3 linked regions of the Oryctolagus cuniculus genome follow. The protein of the gene in region 1 interacts with the protein of each later gene in a biochemical or structural test. Links are inferred from orthologs where the notes say so. Each region holds a gene or a part of one and is shown on either strand. Other genes may lie near its edges.

What was found. The genes of interacting proteins can lie anywhere in the genome.
Region 2: the proteins of SMAD2 (region 1) and SKI form a complex in vitro, tested with the Homo sapiens proteins (4 studies listed by BioGRID). The link is inferred for Oryctolagus cuniculus from reciprocal best matches to the Homo sapiens genes SMAD2 and SKI.
Region 3: the proteins of SMAD2 (region 1) and ZFYVE9 are reported together in a solved structure, tested with the Homo sapiens proteins (2 studies listed by BioGRID and IntAct, with this or other methods). The link is inferred for Oryctolagus cuniculus from reciprocal best matches to the Homo sapiens genes SMAD2 and ZFYVE9.

The regions. Positions count from the first base shown.
Region 1 is NC_091441.1:29,770,561-29,778,483, forward strand, and holds the start of SMAD2 (mothers against decapentaplegic homolog 2), read left to right. Parts: upstream 1-2,696; 5' UTR 2,697-2,945; intron 2,946-3,163; exon of another isoform or gene 3,164-3,582; intron 3,583-3,695; exon of another isoform or gene 3,696-3,919; intron 3,920-4,017; exon of another isoform or gene 4,018-4,168; intron 4,169-5,604; exon of another isoform or gene 5,605-5,677; intron 5,678-7,923. UniProt on the Homo sapiens protein: Receptor-regulated SMAD (R-SMAD) that is an intracellular signal transducer and transcriptional modulator activated by TGF-beta (transforming growth factor) and activin type 1 receptor kinases.
Region 2 is NC_091438.1:163,608,671-163,615,083, reverse strand, and holds the end of SKI (ski oncogene), read left to right. Parts: intron 1-802; coding exon 803-925; intron 926-1,171; coding exon 1,172-1,284; intron 1,285-1,548; coding exon 1,549-1,808; intron 1,809-1,900; coding exon 1,901-2,175; intron 2,176-2,921; coding exon 2,922-3,152; intron 3,153-3,263; coding exon 3,264-3,446; 3' UTR 3,447-6,104; downstream 6,105-6,413. UniProt on the Homo sapiens protein: May play a role in terminal differentiation of skeletal muscle cells but not in the determination of cells to the myogenic lineage. Functions as a repressor of TGF-beta signaling.
Region 3 is NC_091438.1:120,588,946-120,595,284, forward strand, and holds the end of ZFYVE9 (zinc finger FYVE domain-containing protein 9), read right to left. Parts: intron 5,399-6,339; coding exon 5,293-5,398; intron 2,961-5,292; coding exon 2,784-2,960; intron 954-2,783; coding exon 792-953; 3' UTR 384-791; downstream 1-383. UniProt on the Homo sapiens protein: Early endosomal protein that functions to recruit SMAD2/SMAD3 to intracellular membranes and to the TGF-beta receptor.

The sequences.
Region 1 (7,923 bases):
TGTTGTCCATATAAAAATAAGACTCGCTCAGTATAATGTATACGATAGGGACCTACTGATAGATCTTGAGGAACCCTAGTGGATTTCCAAGCCGATTGTTGCCATGGCAATCACTGCTCTACGTGCCTTCAGTTTCTGTCCTGACCCACTTTGGTTTAGATGCATTTCTAACAGAGGGGACAGCAGACACGCTCTCATTTCTAAGCCATTTGGGGACTACATTGGTAGCCTCTCCTTTCCCCAATCTTACAGATTCTGGAAGGCTTCCTAAATGGAAGAATTAAGGACCCGGAGTCTGATACTTTGAAGAGATGGTCTAAGTGAGACTTCAGACATATTGCCTATTGAATTGTAAAAAATATATAAAAATATGAAGAATAATCTTCTCAGGGTGGGCAGTTGGCCTGAGTTAAAATGCCAGTGTGAAAATACTGCACCCCATACTGGAGCATCTGGGTTTGATTCCTGGCTCCAGCTCCTGACTCCAGCTTCCTGCTAATGCAGGGTTCCTGTCAGCCACGTGGGAGACCCTGATGGAGTTCCTGGCTCCCAGCTTTGACCTGGCCTGGCCCAGTCCCAATCATGGTGGGCATTTTAGGAGAGAACTGCAGATGGGAGTGTTCTGCCTCTCAAATAAGTAAATGAATTTAACAAAATCTGCTTGAATTACACTAGGAACAGATTCTCCCGGAATCCCAGCCATTCCTGCTTCTGCTCCTACTCCCACTACCCGGGTGGACACCCAATGCGATAGGAGAAAATATTTGTGTGCCAGGGCCATTATTTATATGCCATTTCATAGCAGGTAAAATTGTCGACTTGCATTAGCAGGAACAAGGAGCCAAACCCAAGAATGGGCTCTGCCCTCCATGGTCCTTCTTGACGGTTCTGGAGCATGGAAGCAGGAGGCCCGGAGGTGGGTTCCTGGCTCTCTTTCTCAAGCCCCTTTTAAAAAGTTGTAAGAGCTGCCTCCAAACTGACAATGCAATAACCTCACAAGAAAACTGTTTAAGGAAGAATTTCTGCTGAGTAGGTTCATCTTAGCCTAGATGTCTGCAAAGCACTGACTTTCCTTTAACTTCAAAGCCCTGTGCTATCTGCTTTTTTTTTTTTTTTGACAGGCAGAGTGGACAGTGAGACAGACCGAGAGAAAGGTCTTCCTTTTGCCGTTGGTTCACCCTCCAATGGCCGCCGCGGCCTGCGCACCGCGCTGATCCGATGGCAGGGGCCAGGTACTTCTCCTGGTCTCCCTTGGGCCATCCTCCACTGCCTTCCCTGGCCACAGCAGAGAGCTGGCCTGGAAGAGGGGCAACCGGGACAGAATCCGGCACCCCGACCGGGACTAGAACCTGGTGTGCCGGCGCCGCAAGGCAGAGGATTAGCCTAGTGAGCCTCGGCGCCAGCCGCTATCTGCTTTCATAATTTTAATGAAGCATTGCACAACTGTTTACAAGCAGGCATCATTGCAGGTGAGTTCCACTGGCCAAATGACCACAGATCGGGGGACCTGCCAGCCGAGTCCAAATCTGCAATCTCCCTGGCTCCAGGGTTCGTGCTCCTCACTCCAGCTTTCCAGGGGAAACGTTCTTGGTGTTTGAGGAGCAGGATGGCAGAAATGAAGGGCAGTTTGCAAGGGCATCTGGGAAACCCGAGAGATTGTGGGAAGGTCAGTTCTCTCTCAAGGTGCATCTGAAGACACCCTCCTCTGGGATGCCCCGTTTTTTGAGAAAAGAGGAGTATATGTCAAACACTTGTTTCAAATGCTCACTTAGTACTTCCTGATTACTGACTTGTATTGCTACAGTAGCTTGTTTCTCTAGAGTCTCCAATTATGTTAGAAAGGACGGACCACGAGAGGATGAGGCTGGACATCCAGCCAAGCAAACTCCTGTTCCTGCCACCAGCTACCTGTGTGAGCTCAGTTTCTGTTCAACTTCAGTCCTATGGGATTCACTGCCCAACTAGTTTTTTTTTTTTTTTAAAGATTAATTCATCTGGAAGTCAGAGTTATGGACAGAAAAAGTGGAGACAGATCGTCTATCTGCTGGTTCACTCCCCAGAGGGTCACAAGGAAGCCAGGAGCGTCATCCAGGTCTCCCACGTGGGTGGCAGGGGCCCAAGCACGCAGGCCAACTTCAGTTGCTTTTCCCAGGCCATTAGCAGGGATGTCGGTGGGAAGTGGAGCAGTCTGGACTCGAACTGGCACCCATTTGGGATGCCAGCCTCGAAGGTAGCAGCTTTACTTCCTAGGCCGCTAAGCCACAAAGCTGGCCCCACTAGTAGGGTCTTAAGAAATCCTTCGCGTGATTAGTTGGGCTCAACAGTTCTTAGGGGCTTGCGTGCCCCCAAGATAAAACCAAGAAAACTGCGCCTAAGTGTTGTGCGTGCTTGGGCAGTTTAGGGCCTTGCTGCCTCCAACAGGGGCCAAGGAACACTGCCCGCACGGGGACCAAAGAGCAAGGGGAGACAAACTAGCAGTCAAGGGGCAGTGCGCCGGGTGCTCATCTTCCAGACTCCGCAAGGACCAATCTGCACGTGCATTACCAATGTCATTTTTACTAACGGGGGGCCCAAGGTTCAGGTTTAACAAAAGTACCCAGTATCTCCTACCCGGACCCCAAAAGCACAGAACGGATCTCGGGCCCGCCCCCCCACCCCCCGGCGCCCCGCACGAAGGCCCCGCCCACAGCCCGCTCATCTGCATACGGGCGCGGCCAGCCGCCGGCCTGGTACCCGGGCTTCCGCAGGACCCTCTCGCTGGCCGAGGCGCGTCCCCTCCTCTGGGGCAGGCCAGCGGCCTCCCGGGAGAGGAGCACGTGCAAGCTCTCGGCTTCAGGACGGAGCGTGAACTGGCCGTCAGTCTCCCACAGACGCTACCCAGCAGCGCTGGCGAGGGGTCAGGGAGGGCCCGGGGCCGCCGGAGATCGTCACCCCGGCCCTGTGGGGTACGGCTCTTTCCCGCCCCTCCCCGCCCCTGAGCGCGCCGACGACCAACTCGAGCGAAACCGCGGCCGTCCCACCCCGCCCGGCCGCGCCGCGCCTCGCCTCACGCTCGACGGGGGAGGCGGGACCAATCAGCGAACGACGTCTCCCTTCCGATTCGAGGCCCCCGACGCGCGGCTCACACCCCGAGCTCCCCGCGCGCTGATTGGCTGCGCGCGCCGCCGGTCCGGCCGGGAGGCGGGGCGGGCCGAAGGCAAAGGGAGGTGGGAGGCGGTGGCCCGCGACTCCCCGCGTCCCGCTCGCCCCCTGGCCCTTCCCGCGGCGCTCGGCCTCCTTCCTTCCCTCCTCCGCTCCCTCCGTCTTCCGTGCGCGCCCCGCGCGGCGCTCGGCCGGCGTGCCTCGCGCCCTAACGGGCGGCTGGGGGCGCCAATCAGCGGGAGGCAGGGTGCCAGCCCCGGGGCTGCGCCGGCGAATCGGCGGGGCTCGCGGCCCGGGGTGGGAGGCGGGTCTACCCGCGCGGCCGCGGCGGCGGAGGAGCAGCTCGCCAGCCTGCAGCCCGCGAGCGCCGAGCGAGCCGCCCAGAGGTGGGTGCGCTGCGCCGCGGCGGCCGGCGGCCGAGGGCGGAGGGCGGAAGCGGAGGTGGGCCGGCGGGGGCGGGCGCGGGCGCCGGGAGGGGCGGCGGGCGCGCGCCGGTGGGGAGGAGGGGCGGCGGCGGCGGCGGGGCGCGCGCGTCCCCACCCCCTCCTGCCTGCGGGCGGTGGCCGGGCCCCCACCCTGGCCGCGAGGCGGGGCGCCCGGCCGGGCACGGGCCTGGGGGCGGGGCGCGGGGACGGCGCCGAGAGTGTTCTCAGTTCCGCCTCCCTTCTCCCGTTCCCTTCTCGGCCTCCCAGCTCCCTCCATCCCATCGGAAGAGGACGGAACAAAAGGTCCCGGGCCCCCCGGCTCTGACGGGGCGGGACCTGGCGCCTCGGCGCAGGTACGGCCCGGGCGCCGCGGGCCGCGGGCGAGGGGTGTGTTTGCGTGCGGCGGCGGCCGGGGCCGCTGGCGGGGTCACATGGCTCCGGCGGGGTGGGGGCTGGGGTGGGGCGAGATCGGGGCCGTGGGCGCGCCGGCCGCGGGCGGGTCGCCGGCGCCGCACGCTCGGTGGGTTGTGGCTGTGGTCGCTCCAGCCCGAGGGCCGGAGCTCGGGTTGCGGGAGTTGTCGGGAGCGCGTGAGGAGCGGCTGGTACTTTGCTTCCACTTTTTGTCGTGTGGTGCTGTAACCTTTGTTAACCGTGAGAGCCGCGGGCTGCGAGGGGCGGTGTGCGCTCTCGAACGCGCGCAGGCTGCGGCTCGGCCCGGCAAAGTTGCTCCCGGAGCCGGCCTGCTCGGCGCCCTCGCCTTCCGCGGGCTGCAGACTGGCCGCACGCAGTCGCAGCTCGGATCCCTGCCTTCTCTGGCGGGACCTGCCCGTGGGTCAGGCGCTTGTCTGTCTGTCTCGTTACTTACAAACCCTTGTTTGATCCAAGACGCGAGAAAAACGTGATCTAGGTTGCTTTTGGTGTTTTCCTTTGGACCCTTGAAAAGCTAAATACCGCCCGCTCGTCGCCTACCAAACCTTTGTTTTTTTTTGAAAAGCCTGCAGGTGGGACGGATTGGGAAGTTGTGCTTCTAACAGGCATTCTTGTTTGCTACGGTGTGGAATATCGACTTGGTATTCCAAACTTGTGTAAAATGCCATTTGTAAAGTTATTGTTAGTAGACGGTCAGGTAAACTGCTTTGGAGTAATTCTGTCTTTTCAGAAGTTCCTGACATGAATTAAGGTTGAAAAAAAATTTTTTTTTGTTATTTTCTTCTAATTTCACATAAGTTGAACCTGTACCACTGATAAGGATGCGTTCCTTGGGTCTGATGGAGTAAATTTGCTGTTACTGTACAGAAAGTACACAGGCTGTTCTACTTTCGACCTCAGTTTTAAAAGTTCTCGTCTGGTGGAGAGCTGTTAGTCAGATAGTTAAATGAGGTTTGAACTGCTTGGTACACGGATTAGTGAGGCAAATGTATCAGTGATGGAAGGAATGTAAAACGTGTTTCATCAGTGTATCGTGGTGAGGGTTTTTTCATTTGCCTTAAAACCCCTACCTAGGGTATTTTGAGAATTCCCTTCCCTAGAAAGTCATGTGGCAGACGTTTGTATTAAATTCTGAAACACAGCGGTTTTGTTTTTAAGATTTCTTAGTTTTCACATAAACGTAGCTGTGTTGGTAAATATAAACAGTTGATGTGTTTGAACATTGCTAAAGCAAGTGCCCGCTTACCCTCTCGCAGTTGAAATCCGCATTTCATTGCGTTTAAGTGTTGGCTGTGTTTAATGTAACGAGCTTGGAAAGTCCGTTTCTGGGGGTGTTTTAGTAAGAAACTGCTCTTCGGAAGAGCGTGCTTTTTCTACGTTCACCTTCCAGTGTGGTTTTGAATTTTAGGTGTTCAACAAAAAATTGGGTTTTTCAAGGTTGTAACCTACCAGTGCTTAGTCATAAGAGGTTAATTTTCTACACAATCGGTAATGAAATAATAGTCTTGTAAGAAATTGTGCAGGGTGATTTCCTGTTTGTGGTTTGTCAGCCTTGGTATGTGTTTTAACTCCTAGGTGGGAATATTGGGGCTGGATTTTTGTATTTCAGCACAAGTTGTGTTTAATAGGAAGAGGTGGTTTCTACTTCAAGATGTCAAGAGGCCCCCTTGCATTTTTATATTGTAAGTACTAGAATCACGGTGTTGAAATATTACTGCTTCACAGTAGGGGGAAATGCATGAGTGGGAATTAACACACTCCGTTTAGCTGCTGGTCAGAGACTTGTTGAATTTTTACATTTTGTAAATTGTCAGTTTTGACTTGGAAGCCTAGAAAGTTTTTCTTACGCTTGTTTGGTTTTGACTGTGCTTTAGGACCCCCAAAACTTAATTTTCTGGCAGTTTTTTAAAATTTTTTAATTTATTTATTTGACAGGTAGAGTTATAGACAGTGAGAAAGGCCTTCCTTCCGTTGGTTCACTCCCCAAATGGCCTCTATGGCTGGCGCTGTGCCGATCCGAAGCCAGGAGCCAGGTGCCGCCTCCTGGTCTCTCATGTAGGTACAGGGGCCCAAGCACTTGGGCCGTCCTCCACTGCCCTCCCGTGCCACAACAGAGAGCTGGACCGGAAGAGGAGCAACCAGGACTAGAACCCGGCGCCCACATGGGATGCCAGCTCCGCAGGTGGAGGATTAACCAAGTGAGCCACTGCGCCGGCCCCTCTGGCAGCTTTAAATACAAGTGGATTTTGTGGTGTATGTAAAAGCCGTATTTAGAGCATTCTGGCAGATAGAGGTTTATTCATATTTTGGAAACGAGTTTTTAGAGGATGAAGGGAGACTTGTTTTGATGGGCGCAGAGGAGCCATTTTTAGGCCCGCAGTTTCTGTAAAAGCAAGGTGGTTTTCCACTAAATATTACAAGAGTATATCAGAAAATGTGAAATGTAGGGACCCTTGGCGACGCCCACACCCCATATCTCAGTGCCAGTGTGCCTGGGAAGGCAGCAGGTGATAGCGCAGGTACTTGTGTCTCTGCCACCCAGCTGGTCTTCCAGGCTCCTGGCTTTGGCCTGGCCCAGCCTGAGACATTTGGAGAGTGAACCAGCAGATGGAAGATCTTTCTGTCTCCTTCCCTGTCACTCTGCTGTTCAAAGAAATGATTTAAAAAAAAAAATGATTTATTTAATTATTTTTTGAAAGGCAGAGTGACAGAGGCAGAGAGATCAATCTTGCATCCACTGGTTCACTCCCCAAATGGCCGCAAGGACCGGGGCTGGGCCGATCCAAAGCCAGGAGCCAGGAGCTTCTTCCGGGTCTCGCATGTGTTCTCTCAAGCACCTGGGCCATCTTCTGCTTTCCCGGGCCATAGCAAAGAGCTGGATTGGAAGTGGAGCAGCCAGTGCTTGAACCGGCACCCATATGGCATGCCGGCACTCAGGCGGCAGCCTCACCAGCTATGCCACAGTGCTGGCCCCCAAATAAATCTTTTTTCTTCTTTTTTAAAGATTTATTTATTTATTTGAAAGTTACACAGAGAGAGGAGAGACAGAGAAAGAGGTCTTCCGTCCGCTGGTTCACTGCTGATACACCATAGCACCGGCCCCAAAAAAATAAATCTCAAAAATGTGAAGTAGGGACCAGCGCTGTGACACAGCAGGTTAAAGCCCTGGTCTGCAATGCTGGCATCCCATATGGGCACTGGTTTGAGTCCTGGCTGCTCCACTTCCGATCCAGCTCTCTGCTATGGTCTGGGAAAGCAGTAGAAGATGGCCCAAGTCCTTGGGCCCCTGTGGGAGGCCTGGAAGAAGCTCCTGGCTTCGGATCGGCACAACTCCGGCCGTTGTGGCCATCTGGAGAGTGAACCAGCAGATGGAAGACCTTTCTCTCTCTCTGCCTCTCTGTAACTCTTTCAAATAAATAAATAAATCTTTATTAAATAAATGAGGTGTAAGGAATTTAAAACTGGTTTAGGAGAGGTTATGCATTACTTGAACAACTTGTATTTGTGGACAAGTCACATTTATTCAATGGTTTTTTTCTGTGTCTCAGACTGTGGGCTAGCAATAAAGTGTTTCACAGCAAATCATTACATCCCTGTTCCTTAATGCAATTAGGACAGTGGACACTTGATGTTTTCTGCCCCATTCCCTAGTGTTTGAGTAAGATAGTGTACTAAGTGTGGGAGCACACGATGCCTGCGGCAGTGAGCTCACGGTGCTCTCTGTGCTTTGGACAAGAGGGTACTGGAGAAGATGTGTAGTGTGAACTCATGGGATCACTGGAGCAGCCACTGTGTTTCGATGTGTGTGGTCTGTGGAAACTGAAGGTATAGCTGATCTTTCAGAAACAAGTTTGTGGTTGAGCAGAGACACACCTGCAGAGCAGTTTAATTTGATTACCTATTGCCCTGTAGTTATAAAAACTGATTA
Region 2 (6,413 bases), on another chromosome or scaffold:
GATTCAGGCCCCTGCGCCCGCCCCCAGGAGGACACGGTGGACAGGCCAGGCCCCCGGCCGCCCTGCGGGGCTCCCCGAGCCCAGCCAGGCCCAGCCGCGCTGACACTCCGCCCCCCGCCAAGTCTGACGTTTCTGGGAGGCCGCGGCATCTGTGGCTTCCTCGGTGAGCGCCGGGTGCACTTTCAGGCCTCCTCAGACAGGAAGCCCCACCCTGGCCGCGCTCACCTGGGCGGGGCCTGCGCGCAGCGCTGTTGGGAACGCTGTCCTTGGCCGGTCTGCCGGGGCTGCCCTCGAGGCCTTGGGCAGGGGCTGTGCACAAGGACTCTGGCCAGGGCGTCCCTGCCCCCACCCGGGGCCTTGGGGAGACGGGCTTCCTGCCGTTCCCTGCTCCCGGGAAGAGCCCTGGGCAGGCAGGACCAGCATGGCTCTCACTCCTAGGGGAGCCCAGGGCCTCGGTGGAGCTCGTCCACATCGCTCCAGAGCTGGACCCTCGGCTCCTGCTGGCTCTTGGGAGCCCCAGTCCTCAGCCTGGCTGCAGGGAGGGGCCACTTCCTGCCAGGGCCCCGCTTGAGAGCAACCCTGGCTCTAGGAAGGTGGTGTAGACACACAGGGACAGAGCCTGCTGCAGCTGTGGGGGGAGGTCACCCTGACCGCCTCACGCCGGCACGAAGCCTGGCTCTGGCCCTGAGCAGTGGGCTCCGTCTCATCTCACCGCTGGGTGCGCGGTGCCGTCCGGTCCTCCTCCGGGCAGCTTGCTCACCTGGGCCCCGGGCACCAACAGCGTCTTCTGTGTCCGTCACAGGTCTCCGAGCCTCCGGCCTCCGTAAGACCCAAAACAGACGACTCCTCTTCCCAGTCCCCTGCGTCTTCCGAGAAGGACAAGCCGTCCAGCTGGCTGCGGGCCCTGCCCAGCTCTTCCAGCAAGGTGCCGTGCGGGCTGTGGGAGCCCGGGGTTGGGTCCCAGGCCTCTGGGTTTGGTGGCAGCCACTGTGGCCATCTGGGGAGTGAGCCAGCAGATGGAAGACCTCTTTGTGTGCAGGCCCCCGGGGAGGGCCACTGGGCGGTTCTGGGAGTGGGCCCTGCCACTGGCTGCTGTGCCCGGCCTAGCCTCCAGGACACGGGGCAGCCTGTCCTTGCCCAGCGGCTCACACAGGCCACTCCTGTCCCACAGAGCCTCAGCTGTGTCCACCCTCGCCAGCGCCTCTCCGCGTTCCGACCCTGGTCCCCTGCGGTTTCAACTGAGAAAGAGCTGTCCCCGCACCTCCCAGCCCTGATCCGAGACAGGTGAGTGCCTGGGCCTGCGGCCTCTCGCCCAGCTGCCACACAGCGCCGGTTCATTTCCAGAGCCGTGTGGTCCTTGGGGGCCCCAGGGCGTGGCCTCCTGGTCCTCGAGGTCAGTCCCTGTTCCAGGCTTCCTGGACCCCCTGCCTGGCCACACAGACCTCCTGTCTGTGGCCTTCCGAGGGGTGTGTCCTGTGACCGTGGTGCCAGCGCGGGTGGGCTCAGGGCGGGTAGACAGCCACGGTCAGCTCACGCACACCCCCGCAGCTTCTACTCCTACAAGAGCTTCGAGACGGCCGTGGCCCCCAACGTGGCCCTCGCACCACCGCCCCAGAAGGTCGTGAGCAGCACACCATGTGCCACCGTCGTGTCCCGGGTGCCGGAGCCTCTCCCCACGTGCGTCCAGCCACGGAAGCGGAAGCTGGCAGGGGACACCCCCGGAGCCCCAGAGATGCCGGCGCCCGGCGCCGCCCCGGAGGAGGACAAGGACTCGGAGGCCGAGGTGGAGGTGGAGAGCAGAGAGGAATGTAAGTGTGAGGGGGCTTCCCGCCCGCGGGCCGGGCCGGGCGGTGCGGCGGGGCCTCCATGGGCGCCCGCTGACTGCTCCGTCTCTCCTCAGTCACCTCCTCCCCGTCCTTTGCCTCGTCCAGCTCCGCCAAGGACCTGAGCTCCCCGGGCGTGCGTGCCCCGCCCCCGGCCGCCCCAGACGCTGCGGCCCACGCCGACGCCCCGAGCGGGCTGGAGGCGGAGCTGGAGCACTTGCGGCAGGCCCTGGAGGGCGGCCTGGACACCAAGGAAGCCAAAGAGAAGTTCCTGCACGAGGTGGTCAAGATGCGGGTGAAGCAGGAGGAGAAGCTGAGCGCAGCCCTGCAGGCCCGGCGCAGCCTGCACCAGGTGAGGGCCCAGGCCCGCCCCTTCCTGGCCACCCCTGCACCGGGTGAGGGCCCAGGCCCGCCCCTTCCTGGCCACCCCTGCACCTTCCTGGCCACCCCCTGCACCGGGTGAGGGCCCAGGCCCGCCCCTTCCTGGCCACCCCTGCAGCGGGTGAGGGCCCAGGCCCGCCCCTTCCTGGCCACCCCTGCAGCGGGTGAGCACCCAGGCCCGCCCCTTCCTGGCCACCCCTGCACCAGGTGAGCGTCCAGACCCGCCCCTTCCTGGCCACCCCCTGCACCGTGGCTTCTGAGAGGCCCGCCCAGTGGCCCCACTTGCTGGGCCGGTGTGCACCATGGCAGAGTGTGTACAGTAGGTGTGTGTACACCCTGCGCACACACACACCTACACGCGTGCACCCGCCGCCTCTCCCAGGGCCCCGCGTGTCGTCTTCAGAGCCGGGGAGGCGGAGGCCCTGGCCTTGCTCGTTCTGGCCGCTCCCGAAGCTGCGTCTGGCAGCCCCCCCCCACGCCTCGGTAGGGACGGGGGCTCCCCGGCTGGGTCTGTGGCCGCCCAGCTTGGGGGAGCAGCAGCCAGAGGCCCCGCTGCGGCAGACATGGGACCCACGCAGGCCGCGTGGGGGGCTGGTGGCCGTCCGATCGGGACGGGGAGGGCGGCTGAGGGAGTGGCCCCGCTGCGTGGTCACGGCCGGGCGGGGGAGGGGCTGAGGGAGTGGCCCCGCTGCGTGGTCACGGGCCGGGTCTGCCCAGGAGCTGGAGTTCCTGCGCGTGGCCAAGAAGGAGAAGCTGCGGGAGGCCACGGAGGCCAAGCGCAGCCTGCGCAAGGAGATCGAGCGCCTGCGGGCGGAGAACGAGAGGAAGATGAAGGAGGCCAACGAGTCGCGGCTGCGCCTCAAGCGGGAGCTGGAGCAGGCGCGCCAGGCGCGGGTGTGCGACCAGGGCTGCGAGGCCGGCCGCCTGCGCGCCAAGTACTCGGCCCAGGTAGGCGACGGCCTGGCCGCCCCGCCCCGCCCCCTGCCCCGCCCCGCCCCGCCCCGCCCCGCCCCGGAGCCGTGTGCGGGCCGGCGCGGCTGACGGCGCTGTGCCTTCCAGATCGAGGACCTGCAGGTGAAGCTGCAGCACGCCGAGGCCGACCGGGAGCAGCTGCGGGCCGACCTGCTGCGGGAGCGCGAGGCGCGGGAGCACCTGGAGAAGGTGGTGCGGGGCCTGCAGGAGCAGCTGTGGCCGCAGCCCGAGCGCCCGGGCGGGGAGGGCACCGGCGAGCTGCAGCCCTGACCCCCAGCGGCGGGGCGCCCACCACGTCTTACTGTGCCTACTCCCGAGTGTCGCAGCCGCACTTGGCGTCCACGCGGGATTTACTGCCCAGGCCGGGGCGAGCCGGGGCGCGCGCACGCCGGCGGCCCGTGGCTGGCCCTCTGCTTGCTGGAACCGTCTAACATTTACACTTTTGTTATAAGCTATTTAAACCAATAAGGAGACTCGATGTTCAGAAAATCAACCTTTTTTAATGACTGCTTTTCAAAGCCCCAGCACGTGCCGCCGCCGCCGGGGAAGCCATCGCCGCTCATCTGTGCCCGCGGCCGCCGCGGCCTCGGAGGTTTCTTCAGTCTATTTTTTCAGCGACCGGGACCCGCGTCTCCCTGCCGCCCCCGGCAAGGGCAGGGGGAGAGCCGCGTGCGAGATGAGCCCACCCTGCCCGCCTTACCGCTGCCCGCCGCCGCCAGGAAGGGCAGAGCCACGCAGGGGCCGCCCGCCGCCCCGGCCGTCCTCGGCTCCCCAGGTGCTGGCCTGCGTGGGCCCGAGGCGTGGCCGGGCGCCCCCTGCCCCCGCTTCCTTGATTTGGGGACTGAGGCTGCAGCGTCAGAACAAAACACAGCATTACCCCCCCCCCCGCCCCATCCTCGTCGGAACCAGACACGGCATTACCCCCCCCCCCCCGGTCCTCGTCGGAACCAGACACGGCATTACCCCCCCCCCCCGGTCCTCGTCGGAACCAGACACGGCATTACCCCCCCCCCGGTCCTCGTCGGAACCAGACACGGCATTACCCCCCCCCCCGTCCTCGTCGGAACCAGACACGGCATTACCCCCCCCCCGGTCCTCGTCGGAACCAGACACGGCATTACCCCCCCCCCCGTCCTCGTCGGAACCAGACACGGCATTACCCCCCCCCCCCCGGTCCTCGTCGGAACCAGACACGGCGTTACCCCCCGCCCCGTCCTCGTCGGAACCAGACACGGCGTTACCCCCCGCCCCGTCCTCGTCGGAACCAGACACGGCGTTACCCGCGCCCCCGCCGGTGTGCGCCCGAGCGCCCGGCAGCTCCGCCCGCCGCCGCGTCGTCCCGGCCGTGCGCGAGGTTTCTCCGGTCCTGGAGCAGTGCCAGCCCTAAGCGCTCCCGTGCTCGGAACCCCTCTGGTGCTTGGTTGAACAAGGGAATCACAAGAAAACGAAAATGCAAAACTGAACTCCGGGGCCGCCCTGTGCCTTCCAGCGTCCTGCGCGGCGAGTCCTGACCGCGTCGCCCCGCGCGCCCCCGTCTCCGTGGCGATGGGAGCTGCCACGCAGATGAGTTAGCGCGTTGATTCCAGGTAGTGTCGTTGCTCTCGACTGTTTATGCAAATCGTAGACGGTTTCCTACGCCCAGGCTTGAAAAGTGGTTTCCCAGGAGACGAGCGGCCCGCCCCGCGGCCTCGGTATTTATTGAGTGCGGAAGATCGCGCGGGAATTCTTTGCTCGAATCCGAATCCGTTACAGCGCCGGCGGCGCCGCAGCAGAGACCAGGACGGCCGGCCCCCCGGCGGCGGAGTCTGCAGGGTCGGCCCTCGGTTTACCGCGGGGGCGCGGCCGCCGCCGCCCCCTCAAGTGCAATGCAAAATGGACATGGTGTATACGCAGCGTCTGTGTGGACGTTGTCCTTGGCTTCTGTCGTCCGTTCGCAGTCCCGGGGTCTGTAGGCACGGGACGCCCCTGCCGTAGGTCGCTCCACCACGGGCAGTAGCGCCGGCTCCGCCTTGTTCGCCAGAGTTGTGCTTTTCCGTCATTTCTTCAAGGGAAACTTAGTGGTTTAGTTGGAGCAAAGCTTTAATGTGTCGGCTTCCGCGTGGCTTCCGTGTCGCCAGGCCCGCCCGGGGCCGCCCGTGTCTTCTGTCGGGCGCCCCTTGGGGCCACGGGCCGGGCCGGCTGCCTCCCCAGCGTCGGGTGGCGCCTCTGCCCCCAGGGCCCTCGCCTCCCGCCCCTCCCTGCGGGGGGCGCCCGCGGGAGCCGGGGTGGGCTCCCTTCACCAGCAGCTCGCACTCGGGGCCCTGGCCTGGGCGGGGCGCCCGTCCTCCGGCCGCTCCAGCGCAGGGCCCGCGCCTGGCCCGCGGCCGGCCCAGCTGCGAGGACAGGCTGTTGACTCCCGTCCGTAAAACCCGTCATCCAGACAGCGCGTGTTCACTTTAATCCTCATGGTTTCTCTCGCGAGGAGGTTTTTAACGAAGGGAAAACCAACAGCAATAACCTTGATTCTCGAGCAGCTACCCCGGCGGCGCGGCCCGCAGCGCCGGCGGCCGCAGCCCTGTACAGACCCGCTCGGCGCCCTGTATCATACGTGTACATGGTGGTCCCTTCTCACCTGGTAATCGTCTGTTTTCTGGGTTGTTTTTAACAAGAAAAACGCTCACGTGCGGGGTCGGAGCTCCGCCCCGCCCCGCCCCGCCCGCGGGCTGTTTCTGTTCTTGCTTTAAGTCAGGAGTCACAAATGACATTTTTTTTCAATTAAGGAAAAAAAAAAAAAAAAGAACCCCCGGACCCTCGTAGCCACCTGCCCCCGCACCGCCCCGGACCTCTGCTGCTGCTAATGACAATACGACGCTTACTCTGCTACTCGAAGACTATTTTTATGTCATTAATGTATGCTTTCTTGTTTATAAATGCCTGATTTAAACAGAACCTGCCGGGCCTGTGTGTGTCCCTGGGGCCCCGGGCAGGGGGCGAGGACGGGGCCGCACCCCAGGCCTGCGGGGTCAGCTGGAGCTGGGAGGAGGCCTCCACGGGCACCACGGCTCCGAGAGCCACCCTCAGTCACGTCGGCACGTTGGAGGGTGGACCCCAGCGTGCCGCCCTGGCTGCCTGCCGAGGGTCCCAGGGGCCTGGCCACCGCCTCCCAGAGACTCCTCGGGCCGCCCGTGTCTGTCCCCCTTTCCCAGTGTGGCCGCCCGTGTCTGTCTCCCCCTTCCCCAGCGTGGCTGCTGCCTCGGT
Region 3 (6,339 bases), on another chromosome or scaffold:
TGGTTTTTTGTACCTGCAGCTTTCCTAGAATTTAAATGATTTCTCAAATTATTTTTTAAATATCACCAGTTTATAGAAATTAAAAATATATTGATTATACTCTATCAGCTTTCACAGAAATGCCCAGTTTAATTCAGTTGGGCAGATCTCCAGTGATCTGAATTCAGCTCTGCCATACAAATGACCTCATGCACACTGAGTTGTCTTGCCATGGCTGGGAGAGTACATAATCCTTTGGGTCTTTAATTCATTGCAATAACCTGGTTTAAAAAGAAACAAAAATCTAAGTGTGATTCTACTTGAGAAACAGCTGTGATGTAACTGGGACAATATCAGAGTCGAATTCCCCTTCTTATACCAATTGTGTACAAAGAATGCAAAAATGATGCTTCATTTTTTATTTCCCCTCTGCCCTCCCACCCCACCCTTGGTGATGGTTGTACCCATTTGAGCATTTCTGAGCACATGACCATAAGTAAATCTTAAGAGAGGAGCAGAATTTGTGTCTAAACAGTAACAGAGGGGATTAGCTGCAAAGATAGCATAACTGTTGTGCAGTAGAGTAGAAGCTGCCCAGGTCTTCTTAGTGGACAATGCATAGAAGACTTAGAATTATGGAACAGTTTCCCCAGCCATCCTTTCCCACCCCTGTTCCCTAATGCCCCCCTACGTCCCCCCTCCCCCAATTAATAGTGTTAACAAAAGCTTAATCTTCCAGTTTTAAAGTGCAAATGATTTGGGTGTGACTGCTGTTGCAACAGGTATGAACAGAAAAAAACGAAGTCCTCTGTCTATGCAATGTTTTCCAGAATATAAAAGATGAGTTCCATGACGACGGGGCCCTCACTGAGCTGGCAGGCCCCTCCATGGATCACTGGCACCAAGGCGCTGTCCAGGTCATTCATGTATTGCGAGGGAAGGGGCTGGCCATTGCTCCCTGCTTGATAGCCAACCTATACCACAGAGAGAAGGGGATGAAGGTTACTAGACTGAGACGATCTTTTCAGAGGGTTCAGAGTCAAAGAGGCTGAGCAGGAAAGGAGATGTCCTTGGCCGTGGGCTGTACACACAATGGTGAACACAGATTTCTCCTCTTCCCTGAGTTGTCATTTAATAATCCTGATCACTTAGCTTAAGATTTCGGGCAAGTCTCTCAACCTGCTGCGGTCTTAGTTTCTAGGAAAGGGGGTGCTGTGCAGAAAGAGGGGGAGTGTCAGAAAGAGTGCCTTACTTTCCTTTGGTTGTAAAAATTAAAATCAAATACATAAAGTACAACTCCTAACAGCAGGAACTGAGAATCTGCCCTTCAGTCCTCCATTCATCCATGTTCCATCTTCTTAGCACCCACAAACAGGGATTCTAAGATGAATGGAACCAGGCCCCTGCCTTCAAGAGGCTCACTCAATTGGCAGAAAAATGCTGTTCTTTAACTGTTTTATGTAAGGGAAATCTCTGTCTCCAGCCTGGTTATCAGTGTCATTTAAGAATGTGCCATTTGTATTACCCTGGCATGCTTCGTACAGCACTAGGCAATACCTCAAGTACAAAATAAACTTGTTGACCGATGGCTCATCAGGAAATGGGGCCCGGCACATAACCTGTCATCCTAACAGCGCAACTCTGTATTCACGAGCCAGCTTCTCCCTGTAAGCACTCAGGATGGAGCGGCTTGCTGTGTAGAATTCATACTCAGGCTGGCGCCGCGGCTCACTAGGCTAATCCTCCGCCTAGCGGCGCCGGCACACCGGGTTCTAGTCCCGGTTGGGGCGCCGGATTCTGTCCCGGTTGCCCCTCTTCCAGGCCAGCTCTCTGCTGTGGCCAGGGAGTGCAGTGGAGGATGGCCCAGGTGCTTGGGCCCTGCACCCCATGGGAGACCAGGAAAAGCACCTGGCTCCTGCCATCGGATCAGCGCGGTGCGCCGGCCGCAGCGCGCCGGCCAAGGCGGCCATTGGAGGGTGAACCAATGGCAAAGGAAGACCTTTCTCTCTGTCTCTCTCACTGTCCACTCTGCCTGTCCAAAAAAAGAATTCATACTCAGCTAGGAATGGTGATCAAGCTGAGTCTACACATTTTCTAAGTGACTCCAATCTAAAGTGTTGATGGAGAACTACAGCAATGTTTAAACATCAAAACAGGACCAATGGAATAAGTCACAGGTATCCAACATGCAAAAGAAATGCAGAGAGATCAGAGTGCTTAGCCACAGGAGAGACACTGGGACAAGGAACTACAGCTAGGGAGGGCTGAGACTGGACTGGTGCTACACAGAACATATAAAAAAATTAAGTGAGACAGAGAGGGAAGCCTGGCAACAGGAGACCCAAAATGACAGGAAAATTAATTCAGAAATAGCTCAAGTCCTATTTATTCACTAATTAGCCTGGTAAATATCTCCTTAAGGCCTGGGCAGCTGCAGAGTCCAGTCCACAGAAACCTGCCCTAGCTGGGTGAGGGACAGCTTGGGCTCTGCCTTCTGAAGGAGCGCTGCTGAATGCTTCCTGATGGCGGGAACGGGGTGGTTCCAGCGGCAACAGGTCCTCACTGTACTGCTCCATATTAGGGAGGAAATCAACTCCTTGGAGACATGGAGATGATGAAGCCACAGCTCAAATGATTCTGAGAGTGACCAAGCATATTGGGATATATTAATATTCTTAGAAAGCCAGAATACTACATCTGGTCAGGCAGGAGGTCTGGAAGATTCAGCTTCCTGGATTGTGGCAAGAAAACTCAGAAGGCAGAAAATACAGACACTACCCCCAAGGCCGGCTTCAACTTCTTACCTGGTCTGAGTCAAGCGTCACACGTAATCCCAGTTTTGTCATTCCATCTTCCTTCAGAAGCTTCAGGTGGGGACAGAGAGCGAGGCAGAAAGCCTTGGCAACGTGTTCCGTCAATCTGCTATGATCTGCAGGATCACTTAGGCAATTGTGCTGGTCATCATTTTCTAGAAAAAACACCTGCCACCCCCCCCAAAAAAAAGATTTTTAACACTACCTAAATTTTGGAAGAAACAAGAGCATTAGTTTACTGTATATGAACACCCTGATTCTTGAAGATGTGTAAGATCTCAGGACACCATGGTCCTTGGGCCAGGAAAATAGGGCACTGATGTCTTAACGCTTGAGAAACAATCCCTGGAGGCCAGCACTGTGGTGGACTAAGTAAGGCTGACGCCAGCATCTCATATGGGTGCCAGTTTCAATCCCAGCTGCTCCACTTCCAATCCAACTCCCTGCTAATGCACCTGGGAAAGCAGTGGAGGTTGGCCCAAGTGTTTGGATCCCTGTACCCATATGGGAGAAATGGAGAAAGCTCCTAGCTCCTGGCTTTAGCCTGGCCATGCCCTGGTCATTGCGGCCATTTGGGGAATGAGCCAGCAGATGGAAGACTTTTCTCGCTGTCTCTTCCTCTCTAACTCTGCCTTTCAAATAAATAAAATAAATTAAAAAAAAAAAAAAACAAACAATCCCTGCCTCTCTTTCCATGACTCTGCCATGGTTATCATATTATATTGTACTCAGAATCAGAAAAGGACTTCATTTTGCACTGTGTGCTTCTAAAAGGTAATCCCCATTTGTAGACAATTTTCCTAGGAAATGATCTTAGGCTCTTAAGAGAATAGACTTCATAGATGATGTGATCCAGCCCCTTCATTTTAGTTTACTCACTGACCGGCTCAAGTGCAGAGAAGTACTGAGAGGCAGAACTAAGCCCAGAATCTGAGTCTTCCACCTCTCGTTGCAGGCAGAGCTTTTTCCCACAAGGCCCTGCCACTGTGGAGGCCAGAGCTGTCTGCGTTCACAGAGAGCAAGCACTGCACTGTGCACAAGCGGAAGCTTAGCAGACTGGAGATGGGAGACTCCAATACCAGTCACACAGACAAAGGGTGCTGAATAATCCAAAGACTAAAGGAAAGGAAAGGGCTTCTTAACATCTAGTTTGCCTCTAGATGGCAAATGCAAAGCACATGTGCTCTCTGGTTGTTTGAAGTTAAAAATTATAATGGCGAAAATACAAAAGAGAACTGCAAATACACAATGTTTATATACACCAACCTCTAGCTTACTGCTCAGTAAGGGGCTCATCCTGAGAATGCTATCAAGGAAGCAGCTCTGAGGCCCTGTGCCTGGATGCACAGGTGAGAGCAGCAGCGTGAAATGATGGAAAGAGTTCTGGATTGGGAGTCCACAGACAGGTGCTGTGGGCCCTGTTCTGCCAGAAAGTTACAAAGCCACACAGTCTCAGCCTGTTTTCTCATTTGCATAATGGGATGACTAGACTGCCTACCTCACTGAGTTATTGGAGAGCAAAATGGAGGGAGCAGAGATCAAACTAGTTTATAAGCTAAAAAGAATTTTGCATGTTCTAGACTGCCCTGATCAAAATGTGTCAAAGGAGCAACCATTACAAACCAAGCAGCTAAAATCACCAAACTGCATATGAAAACATGGGGCCTGGTATGAAGGAAGGGTCACTGAAACACCAGCTCAAGACCTAGAGAGCTGGGTCCCAGTCCCTGTGTATCAGGGACCAGCTTTGTGAATCTGGATAAGATACTTTCATCTCTTTTGGTCTCAACTTCCTGTGTGTAAAATAGAAAAGCTAGAAGTCACAGCCTTTTCAGAAAGAATTAAAATTTTAAAGTTTAAAGGATGCCTAGAGATCTTATTATTCAATCATTTATTTTATAGATGAGTATATATGAAGCTCAAAAGCAACAAAGAGATTAAGGCTCTATCTGTTCGCTCTGTAAACATACTCTGGCTCAGGTTAGCCTCTAATACAGCTTTTGAGTTAAGGAGCCATTTAGTTTAGTAGAAAACAGCTTTGGAGTTTGCCAGATCTGGGTGTGAATTAGGATTTTTGCATTATTTTACTTGCCTTGTAATATTTGACATGTGACCTAGTCTCAGAAGTTTATTTTCTTATTGGCAAAATCAATCTATTTAGGATTGTGTTACTTATCCAAGAGAGTTCTAACTTTAAGTGCAACAAAACCAACCCAATTTATGGTGAATACAGCAAACCATTCAGAGATGCACCCTTCTTGAATTTCAACACAGATCAACCTCTAAAAGCTAGTTTCCGAGAAGCAGCACACCTGGGAATGCTGAAAGCTGTATTTGGTGGCATTTCTTCCCAGTGATCTAAGACCAGAGTAAAGTGGAGTATAAAAGTAAATATAGATTTTATTTTTTTAATCCTCCAGAATCTTCCCAGAATGGGCCCTTGGCCTAGCAAAAACTTGTGCTCAAAGTAGGTCAAGGGTGTGAGGTTTCATTTCCTTACCTCTGTCCATCTGATGACTTTTCCATTTGCTTTATACTCTGATCCATGAAATATCTTCACATTTGTTATAGACTCCATGGACTTCCCATCTATCGGACTTATGACACTGAAGTAAAGGCAAAGGAAAGAGAAGCAACTTTTTAATTTAGAGGAGCCATTTCTCTTATCACGTCTTGCTGCTCATTACACTGGATTCCTTGCTGAACTCAACTGTGCAGCACATCACAACAAGATGACATACAAAAATGTACATGAGCAGAGCTCTCATGCAAAGAGCCTAAGCGCTGAAATATGAGTCAAAGAACACATGTGTGCCCTCAAGAAGAAGGCCCTTTCCTTTATATATATGTATTTTTTTTTAACAGGCAGAGTGGACAGTGAGAGAGAGACAAAGGTCTTCCTTTGCCGTTGGTTCACCCTCCAATGGCCGCCGCGGCCGGTGCATCACGCTGATCCGAAGGCAGGAGCCAGGTGCTTCTCCTGGTCTCCCATGGGGTGCAGGACCCAAGCACTTGGGCCATCCTCCACTGCACTCCCTGGCCACAGCAGAGAGCTGGCCTGGAAGAGGGGCAACCGGGACAGAATCTGGTGCCCCGACCGGGACTAGAACCCAGTGTGCTGGCGCCACAAGGTGGAAGATTAGCCTAGTGAGCAGCGGCGCTGGCCCTTTCCTAAGAGCTGCTTCTCTTTAATGTGAACAAAGTGTTCAATCAAATCTCCTCTCCCTACAGTCCTTCTTGCAGTGAACCCAAGGTCACTCACCCAATCTTGTTCTCTATTATGGTCCTGGGATATAATGATACTCATGTTATACTCCATATTTTTGCATATCTGAATGGTGGAGAATATGATATATTTACCTCTGTGTGCTCTATTCCTAGTACTCACCTACTGCTTAGAAATTGGGAGGTTACTGAATGTTCATTAAGAATTATTTGAGGGACCAGTGGTTAGCCTAGAAGTTAAGACACATATCACATTGGAAGAACTGGGCTATAGATTCCTGCTAATGCAGACACAGGGAGGCAGCAGGTGATGGCTCAAGTA